3 linked regions of the Saccharomyces cerevisiae S288C genome follow. Changing the gene in region 1 together with any one later gene gives a genetic interaction. Each region holds a gene or a part of one and is shown on either strand. Other genes may lie near its edges.

What was found. Genes that interact genetically often act in the same process or in processes that back each other up.
Region 2: mutations in PPT2 (region 1) and NCA2 together harm fitness more than expected from each alone (negative genetic interaction), as found in Saccharomyces cerevisiae (2 studies listed by BioGRID).
Region 3: mutations in PPT2 (region 1) and LSC1 together harm fitness more than expected from each alone (negative genetic interaction), as found in Saccharomyces cerevisiae (2 studies listed by BioGRID).

The regions. Positions count from the first base shown.
Region 1 is NC_001148.4:271,794-274,829, forward strand, and holds PPT2 (holo-[acyl-carrier-protein] synthase), read right to left. Parts: upstream 1,023-3,036; coding exon 501-1,022; downstream 1-500. Other genes in the region: ATG5 (Atg5p), read left to right, coding at 1-401; ATP-binding cassette long-chain fatty acid transporter PXA1, read left to right, coding at 1,462-3,036. UniProt on the Saccharomyces cerevisiae protein: Transfers the 4'-phosphopantetheine moiety from coenzyme A to a Ser of mitochondrial acyl-carrier-protein.
Region 2 is NC_001148.4:834,993-838,953, forward strand, and holds NCA2 (Nca2p), read right to left. Parts: upstream 2,422-3,961; coding exon 571-2,421; downstream 1-570. Other genes in the region: PIN3 (Pin3p), read left to right, coding at 1-220; TPO3 (spermine transporter), read right to left, coding at 2,917-3,961. UniProt on the Saccharomyces cerevisiae protein: Involved in the mitochondrial expression of subunits 6 and 8 of the F0-F1 ATP synthase.
Region 3 is NC_001147.6:591,215-594,616, reverse strand, and holds LSC1 (succinate--CoA ligase (GDP-forming) subunit alpha), read right to left. Parts: upstream 1,561-3,402; coding exon 571-1,560; downstream 1-570. Other genes in the region: ARP8 (Arp8p), read left to right, coding at 2,030-3,402. UniProt on the Saccharomyces cerevisiae protein: Succinyl-CoA synthetase functions in the citric acid cycle (TCA), coupling the hydrolysis of succinyl-CoA to the synthesis of ATP and thus represents the only step of substrate-level phosphorylation in the TCA.

The sequences.
Region 1 (3,036 bases):
TTATGTCTTTATCGGTCAACGAAGCTCGAAAATTTTGGGGCAGTGTTATTACGAGAAATTTCCAAGATTTCATTGAAATATCTAACAAGATAAGTTCATCAAGACCGCGACATATACCGCTCATCATTCAAACCTCAAGGACATCAGGAACTTTTCGAATATCACAACCAACTATCAGTATGACTGGAGTCAATCCTACGTTGAAGGATATTGAAGGCGATATTCTGGACGTAAAGGAAGGAATCAATGGTAATGATGTCATGGTTATTTGTCAAGGAATTGAAATTCCTTGGCATATGCTCCTGTATGATTTGTATTCTAAATTGCGAAGTTTTGATGGCTTTTTGTACATAACTCTTGTTCCTATAAAAGGCGGCGATAAAGCTTCCTCTGAGCTCTAAGAGCTGTTATATACGCATTTAAAAGTGTCATTCAAATATCGCAGAAAATAACTTGGACGTTGAAAATAGGGCCACATTTATACGGCTGCAAGAAAACTTTTACTCTCTTTCTACCAAGTTTGTTACTGCAATTAAATAATCTTTATCATGGGATAGCGAAACTAAAAACTCATGAGTGGAAAAGAGAGAATCGTAGTTTTTCGAGAGCTGTTGATACTTTGGATACTTTTTTCCAAACATCTTATCAAACTCTAACTGAGGTACACCTGTATCGGTTTGTGTTTTATATAGCATTCCAGCGTACAGTACTTGGGCAGGAGGTAGATCATGCTTTGAAACACAGCAACACAACGCTTTCAATGAGCATTCCTTCAAAGCCCAAACTCCCGCTATATATTCATGCAATCGTGGAGTTAAGCAGTTTTCTTCGATGAGAAGATTACTGAAATGAAATCTTTCCTTTTCATGCATGAACTTCCGTGTTATTTTATTCAAGGTAGAACGGCCACATGGGTCGAATGGGGAATATTTCTCTAGTATATGTGCAAATCTTGGCAAGTATACAATGTCAACTCCCACTCCTGCTATCTTACGTCCAATATTCCTCGATGCAAAACTCATCACTGGAGGCATTCAAAGCTAGCACTTATGAAATAAACGTTCATTAGAAAGCAATACTCCTGATAAGAAAATAGTGCTTAGCTTCTATTCAGCCTTCTTAAAGAACTAGCTTTTCTATCAAAAGTCAGATCTCTTATGACCGCTTGAACCTGTGGAATGTATATAAGCAGTTTTGATGTTAAGATTTTTTTTTCAATAGAATTTCTTCCTTCGGAAATAATCCCGATTAAGAAATTATTCTTGACGCAATATTCAGCTATATGTTGATCGGGCTTAACCGCATAAGTTTCGTTACCCTTTTTTACCCCAATTTTTAATTTCGGCGGTTATTTTCAGCCCTTTTAGAGTCAAGATATATAAGAATGCTTCTCTAAGAAGTGAGACTAACAATGAAACCCGTTTCAGACAATCTGGAAGTCTTAGAACGCATAACACAGAAATGTCAACAACATTAGCAGCACCAGCGAAACTAAAGAGTTTGCTCCTGAATCTACATACTCACTGTATTGGGCTACACGTTAACGATGTCACACCTAAAGTATATTTCAAGTTATTGATACGGCATCTTCTACAGATATCTAGATCAAACGCTGCTCATCCTAAGCTAAGAAGAAGGGCCCAGATTTTATTGGTATCGCTTTTCCTATCTGGTGTCACACTTTTTTCTGGTGTAACATATAGTACTTTCAAAATTATTCTAAAATGTTATAAATTTTACAAGTTTCCATGGAAGAGAAGGAATAGGAGACCTTTAATAAGAAGAACAAGATCTCAAATGCAATTAGACAGTGGTGCAAGAATAATGTATATTCCTGAAGTGGAATTAGTCGACCGCCAGAGTCCCGATGACAACAAATTTATGAATGCTACAGATAAAAAAAAAAGGAAAAGGATATTTATTCCACCAAAGGATAACGATGTATATGAACACGATAAGTTTCTTTTTAAAAATGTAGAACTGGAAAGAGCCAAGAATTCGCAGTTATTCTACTCAAAATTTTTAAACCAAATGAACGTCTTGTCTAAAATTTTAATTCCAACAGTTTTTGACAAAAACTTTCTTCTTTTAACTGCTCAAATTTTTTTCCTGGTGATGAGAACTTGGCTCTCTTTGTTTGTAGCCAAGCTGGATGGACAAATAGTCAAAAATATAATTGCTGGTAGAGGAAGAAGCTTTCTGTGGGACTTAGGGTGTTGGTTTTTAATTGCTGTCCCTGCTTCTTATACTAATAGTGCTATTAAGCTACTTCAAAGGAAGTTGAGTTTAAACTTTAGGGTAAATTTGACACGTTACATCCATGACATGTATTTGGATAAAAGACTAACATTTTACAAATTAATTTTTGATGCAAAGGCGTCCAATTCGGTAATCAAGAATATCGACAACTCCATTACTAATGATGTTGCAAAATTTTGCGATGCGACATGCTCCGTTTTTGCAAACATTGCAAAGCCAGTTATTGATTTAATATTCTTTTCGGTTTATTTACGTGATAATTTGGGAACTGTGGGAGTAGCAGGTATATTTGTTAATTATTTCATTACTGGGTTTATTTTGAGGAAATACACGCCACCATTAGGTAAATTGGCAGGCGAGAGATCTGCTTCAGACGGCGATTACTACAATTATCATCTAAACATGATAAATAATAGCGAAGAGATCGCATTTTACCAAGGAACAGCAGTGGAAAGGACGAAAGTTAAAGAGTTGTATGATGTGCTGATGGAAAAAATGCTGCTGGTTGATAAAGTCAAGTTTGGTTACAATATGTTGGAAGACTATGTTTTAAAATATACATGGTCCGGTTTGGGTTATGTTTTTGCCTCAATCCCTATCGTTATGTCTACCTTAGCGACAGGCATCAATTCAGAGGAAAAAAATATGAAGGAATTTATAGTCAACAAAAGGTTGATGTTGTCGCTTGCAGATGCAGGCTCGAGATTGATGCATTCGATAAAGGACATCTCACAATTGACCGGCTACACTAATAGGATATTTACTCTGCTTTCCGTC
Region 2 (3,961 bases), 560 kb from region 1:
ATCTTATCAACAGCAGCCATTTCCTCCACCTTCCACAAATTATTATCAGCAGCCTCAACAACAGCCGCAACAAGCTCCTCCTCCCCAACAACAACAACAACAACAACAACATCAGAGCTCACATAGCCACTTGAAGAGCTTTGGTAGCAAATTGGGTAATGCCGCCATTTTTGGGGCAGGCGCTAGTATTGGGTCAGATATTGTTAATAATATCTTTTAAGTCGTTTTTCTCTTTATATACTTCATTCATTTGTTCTCCATTATGGCCAAACCTTTCATAAATTGAACGAAGTTCTACCTTTGGTGTTGTTATCCCTAGAATTTTTTTCTAATGAGTATGAATTTAAGTAACCTTTTTTTTTCTTTTTTTTTAAACAGATATATCGTATATGGAGGATAATAGTACATCACTTATGATATGAGCGAGAAAATCTGTCTTTTTAGTAAAAAAGTATAAAAAGTAAAAAGGCGTCGATTTTGCGTTGATTTCTTTATATTTACGTCTGTACAAAAAATACATTAAGAATATATTCAATATCTTCCCTTTCTTCTTCCCCAGCAGGCTATACGCTAATGGATTAAAAACCTGCCATATACGTGGTATATCCTGTTGACGACATTTATATGAGCTCCGGAGTCAAGATTGGTATCCACCAGTTCCTCAACGTCCCTAAACCATTCTTTCTTTCTTGAACGCGGGATCAAAAAACTTCCCAATTTGTATAAGTTAGAAACCTCAATCACTAGTAGACCCTGGTTTAAGTGTTCCTCATCGGCGTCCGCACCTTGTTTAGAATAATTCAAAACTCTTTCCACATTATTCAAACTTATACTTATTTGCTCCCTATACCGTTTTTCATTAGACCAGACATTGCCTAGTTTGACAAATCTTTTTAACGCCACTATAGAAGAATATAGTATCACTAAAGCCGGAGATAATGCTACAACTCCAAACACCAACTGTTGCGATTTCAGCATTTTATCAATGCCATTCAATGCCATAGATCCATCGACTTTTGTTTTTTGCAGTTGAATCAATAAAGACCTGACTAATCCACCCGTAGCTATATTCTTTATCGGATGATGTAGTTGTGTTTCATATATTTCCATAAATTCGGTCAAATCACCATGTTCGACTTTAGTACTCAATAGAATAGGGTCTATGGGGCTGTTAGACGTCGAATCACTATTATCCACAACAAAACTAACAATCATTCTGGTAAGAGAATCCATGTCAGAGTTTAATGTCTCCTGTGATGTCACTGAAATGGCGCTTCCCTCGTCATGCTTAACAGTAGACCAAACCTGTTTCAGGGGTGCCCATAACCAGTTCAAGATCAGCCCTTTCGCAAAGTCAACGACATTGGTCTTAATGAAATCTTGAATAAAATACCGGGAATTCCACAACGACATAACAGAAGATGGTCCATATAAAAGACACAACAAAATTGAAGGCCAGTATCTAGTCAATATACTTGGTTTAGTGAACCTTCTTAAAGGATGATCTTTATGAAATTTCGCTGAGCATCGGATCACATCTAGTAAATTCGAATCAGACATGGCTAATCCAAAGAAGTCCTGTAAAGATTTTAGACGTCTTTCGTAGTTCGGTAAATGTACTTCGGTGAACATACCATTTTCTTCTGGTTGTTGATCGAATTCAGTGATCAACTGCCCCAGTTTAATAGTATAATACTTTGATGATTGAGTGACCATATCAAGTCTTTCGTGCACTATACCGCGAGGTATATCAGAAACCAATGAAGCTATTTCAATTGGTTTCTTCGGTAGCCCGACAAACCTGAAGTTCCGAATCACCATAAATTTGTTTATTCTTGGGCGTATTTTTTCTAGTAAATCAACTGACAAGGCCTTTAGGGACCATTTTTGATGCGACAGTTTTTTCTTATTTACATCCTTCAAAACAGTTTGAGATAAAAGACGTATTGTCGATACTGAATTTTGTAAACAGTAAAGAAAAGACTTTAGGATTGAATCACTTACTGTTTTGTAGTACTGTTCAGCTTCATACACGGCAGGTAAACCTTGGACGCATTCGTTGGTCACAGAATAGTAGCACAATAATATAATGTACTCAAATATGGCTTGGCTAACAAGATATTGCAAATCTCCGTCTTCAAAGGATGAGGGATCAGCAATGTCCTTGCAAATATTGTATAGCAAATCAAAAGGCACCGAACAATAAGAGTCAATATTGTCAGTTTTGATTGAAATGCAGATTTTTTCAACAATTGACCTGATCAATTGTAATTGATCTTGTAACCTACTTAGTTCTTCATTTTCCTCACGTACGTCTTGAATCAATTGTTGCTGTGAATCAAATGCAACCTCTCGTAGTGATTCCTCTAATGAATGACTTATCTCTTCAAAAGATTTCAAAATACGCCTATTGATGATCATTTAAGAATATTAATTAAGGAACCTGCAATTTTGCAATAGGACTATTTTGTTGACTTTGTTGTTATTACTAAGTTTTAAAGTGGAAAAGAATTCCGACCCTTTGTTTAGTGAGTGGGGGTCAATCAAATTCGTATTCCTCGGTCAAATGAGGAGGAATGTAAAAACCGAAAATAAAGTCATCGCATAGGTACAAGAAGAATGAACTTGAGAAGTTCAAATTTCTAATTCAATTTTTTTTTTTTTCTATACATATAAATTAATAAAGTTACTCACGGTTTGAAGGTCAATCAATATATTTGTTTAGGATAGCAATAGATAAAAGAACAATAGAGAAAGAATGTAAAATACGTAAAAATATATGTACATTACTGTCGGATAATGGTTTGAATGCATGTTTGATATGTTTGCTTATGTTTGCTTATGTTTGCTTATGTTTTTATCATTACTACTACTATAATTTTTCATTATTATGCTCGATTCGTAAAATCGTTACTCTTATTCAATACTATCTATGGAATAATCCTTCTTGGATAACTTATGTCTCAAACCTTTGCCCCAGTAAGAAAATGCAAAAGGTAAAGCAATCATAGCAGTGGAGATGAAAGCCAACAACCAAGAACCCCAGTGCAGATTCAATTTGTGGTACATTTGAATGGTAAACAAGGGGAAGGCAGCACCACCGGCGGATCTTAAGAAAACCTTTGTAGCCAGAGCACTGGATGCGTATTGGACGTAGCAATCAATAATGTAATTATTCAATGAATAATAAATCAACACCATACCGAAACCAAAAGCTAAACCAGCTGAAGCTGGACCAACCCAAATAATATGTTTATAAGCGGTAGCACCCAGGATCCATAAAGCAATTGCAGCAAATGGAGCACCGATCTTAGCACCTAGCAAACGATCTTCAGGAGTAGGTTTACGCTGTTTGACAATTTGTAAATACTTGTTTTCACAGTAGAAAGTTGTGGCTAACGCCCAAAGAGCACCGATAACAATAGGAATAAACATCAAACCCACAAGGTTGTCTTTGTAGCCATATAGTTCACCGAAAATGACAGGGAAGGCAAAGAAGAACGCATATAGTAGAGAGTAAATCAAACACACGTAGAAACAAGTAGCAACTAGAACAGGTTCAGTGACAGAGAAGTACAAAGGTCTCAACAGACAAGCCCTCATCATTTCACCCATACTGACACCTTGCGCTTCCTGCTCAGTCATAATCTTGGGATTACCAGTTTCCTTTCTTAATCTAGCAGCCTTTCTCTTCAAGATAACTGGAGCGTACGTTTCTGGGATGGCAGAAGATATGATCCACATAACACCTGCAAAGGCCATATTGACCCAGAAAATCAGGTCCATACGTCCGGTAGAAACGGAAATAAAACCGTTAACTAGTGGACCAACAACGGGACCAACGTAAGGAGCAAAAGCGAAGAAAGCAATAGCCTTACCTCTTGTTTCACTTGGGAACATATCGGCAATAGACCCACCAACTAAACACAAACCAGATGATGACCAAACACCACATAAAAAT
Region 3 (3,402 bases), on another chromosome or scaffold:
ATGACAGTTTCTCATATCTTATGTCATCGTCTAACACCGTGTATGATAATATATTGGTAGTGTGACTACTAGTTGTTAGACGATAGTTGATTTTAATTCCAACACTTACCTATTTATCAGTGTCATTACTAAGAAGGAAATTTTTCATTAATAGTATATAACGTGCTGAGTCTTCCCAAATTGATTGAAACGCGCAAGTGGTTCAGTGGTTAGAATTTATGCTTCCCAAGCATGAGGCCCGGGTTCGATTCCCGGCTTGCGCATCTGTTTTTGCAAAACAGACTAGGAAATTCAGACGTTTTGTTATTTTTTTTTCCATTTCAATTATTAAGCTTTAATCAACCTTTATGTATACCCTTGTTAAGAAGAACATTAAATACAAACACTATTAAAAGATTTTTAGTAGAATTTATAAGGATAAATGAATATATACAAAGGGAAAAATTAACATAGAATGTTGAGTAAAAGCTCTGAAAAGAAAACGGATGTCAGCTCCATACTTGTCTAAGCAATAATCGAGACATAGAAGTCTTCCTCTTTTGAAAGCAGTTCATTCTCTTCCTAATATAATCATTTAAATTTGGCAAATTGATCCAGTAAAGCTTGACCTAAGTAACCTGGAGATTCAACGACGGCAACACCAACATCTCTCAAAGCTTGTTTTTTGGATTCTGCATCAGTTCCAGATCCTTCTACAATTGCACCGGAGTGACCCATTCTAACACCTTTCATTTGACCAGCAACAGTTCCTGCGATGAAAGATGCCACCGGCATCGGCTTACTCCTGCTAAAGTTGTATTCTTTGAGAAATTGAGCAGCTTCGATTTCGGCCTTACCACCTATTTCACCTAACATAATAATACCTTCTGTAGTTTCATCTTCTAGAAATAATTTCAAGGCGTCAATAAAATCAGTACCGGGAAAAGCATCACCACCCATACCAATAACCAGTGATTGACCAAGGTCAGTTTTTGTAGTTTGCTGAACAGCTTCGTATGTCAAAGTTCCCGATCTGGAAATAATACCGATTTTACCAGCTTGAAAAATTTTTGGGGGCTGGATACCAATTCTTACCTTTGTTGCTGGGTTAATGATACCAGGGCAGTTGGGCCCAACTAATCTTGTTTTATCTTGTGTCTGCAACATTTCTGCAATGTATAACATGTCATGTTGAGGAATACCTTCAGTGATACATACAGCTAACGGAATTTCAGCTTCAATAGATTCTTTAATGGCAGCAGCTGCGATCGGTGGAGGAACAAAGATGGCACTGGCAGTGGCTCCAGTCTCCTTAATCGCGTCCTTCACAGAGGCAAAGACAGGTTGGCCTAAATGTGTTTGACCCGCCTTTTTTGGGTTCGTACCACCCACAACATTTGTACCATATTCTTGAGAGATGCTGGCATGAAAAGTACCTTGTTTACCTGTGAACCCCTGAAAGATCACCTTGGTGTCCTTGGGAAGCAGCAAATTTTTGATCGTCTTATCGTAAGGAATAGATTCTCTGTGAAAGTGACGACAAATTTTGAGAGAAGCTTTTGAAACGGTAGATCTTAACATTATCAAACTGAAGAATAAATGGTCTGCAAAAGAAATTTTCTATGAAATCGAACGTATATAGAGTGGTAAGTAACAAACAGAACAACAATTAGGGGAAACTTGTCTCCTTCCAGCTTTTATATCGCTTGATTAAATCCAACTGTGGTAAGCCTATATATACGCAGTGTGCTGTGAACAACTCTCGAACAAGGATACTTAATTGACAATTGCAAAGCACTTAAGGGCTCTATTACCATCTGGATATCAGTCTCGAGAAACGCCTTTTTTGTTTCTGTTTTTATAGCAGCAACTTTGGGTCCGAGGTTGGGGTAGATCCGTTATCCAGCCGCTGGTTGGGCCGTGCAAGATGACTTATTTGAGAATGGCAATATGAATAAATGGAGATGATGAACGCCCACGAAGTAGCAAACACTTTCAGGTAAATTACTAGTCAATAGTACATAAATACAGGGATACAATCGCACCTAACATGTCGCAAGAAGAAGCAGAATCCAGTATTATTTATGAGGAACCCATTGATATTCCGTTAGAGGATGATGACGATGAGGATGAACTGGAAGAAGAAAATAGCGTACCTTTAAGCAGCCAGGCGGATCAAGAAAATGCGGAGAATGAGTCAGACGATAGTGTCGATAACGTAGTTGGATCTGAGACACCCAGAAGTGTAACAGGTCTTTCTGTTGACCCAAGAGACGTTGCAGACGAAGAAGATGAAGATGAAGAAGGGGAAGACGAAGATGAAGACGAAGACGACAATGATGTTGACAATGAGGACGAAAATGATAATGATAATGCCAACGAAAATGAAAATGAATTAGGGAGCTCTAGAGATAAGAGGGCACCACCTGCTGTGCAGACTAGTAAACGTTATAAGAAATATCCGAAGCTAGATCCCGCAAAAGCACCTCCCGGGAAGAAAGTCCCGCTACATCTTTTGGAGAAGAGGAGACTAGGACGTATTAAAGCTGCTGAAGAATTTGCCAAGACGTTGAAAAAAATTGGCATTGAGAAAGTGGAGACAACTACTTTACCTGCCACTGGCCTGTTCCAACCTTTAATGTTAATCAACCAAAAAAACTACTCATCAGATTATCTGAAAAAAGACGATCAAATATTTGCACTTAGAGATAGAAAATTTTTGAGAAATAACAACACTAGCCAAATATCTAGTACCAACACACCAGATGTTATAGATTTAAAGAGTTTGCCCCACTCAGAAGCGAGTGCAGCACCACTTAATGACGAGATAGATCTAAATGATCCAACAGCAACTATCGTGATACATCCTGGATCAAATTCTATAAAGATAGGATTTCCCAAAGATGACCATCCTGTCGTAGTTCCAAATTGTGTAGCGGTACCTAAAAAATGGCTGGATCTTGAAAATAGTGAACATGTTGAAAACGTTTGCCTTCAAAGAGAACAGTCAGAAGAGTTTAACAACATAAAGTCGGAGATGGAAAAGAATTTTAGAGAACGTATGAGGTATTATAAAAGAAAGGTACCAGGTAATGCTCACGAACAGGTAGTATCTTTCAATGAAAATTCCAAACCTGAGATTATTTCAGAGAAAAATGATCCATCTCCTATAGAATGGATATTTGATGACTCAAAATTATACTATGGTTCAGATGCATTGAGGTGCGTGGACGAAAAATTTGTTATTAGAAAGCCTTTCAGAGGTGGCTCTTTTAATGTCAAGTCACCATATTATAAATCGTTGGCAGAATTAATCTCAGACGTTACCAAGCTTTTGGAGCATGCACTTAACTCAGAGACTTTAAACGTTAAGCCTACCAAATTTAATCAGTACAAGGTCGTGTTGGTGATACCAGACATATT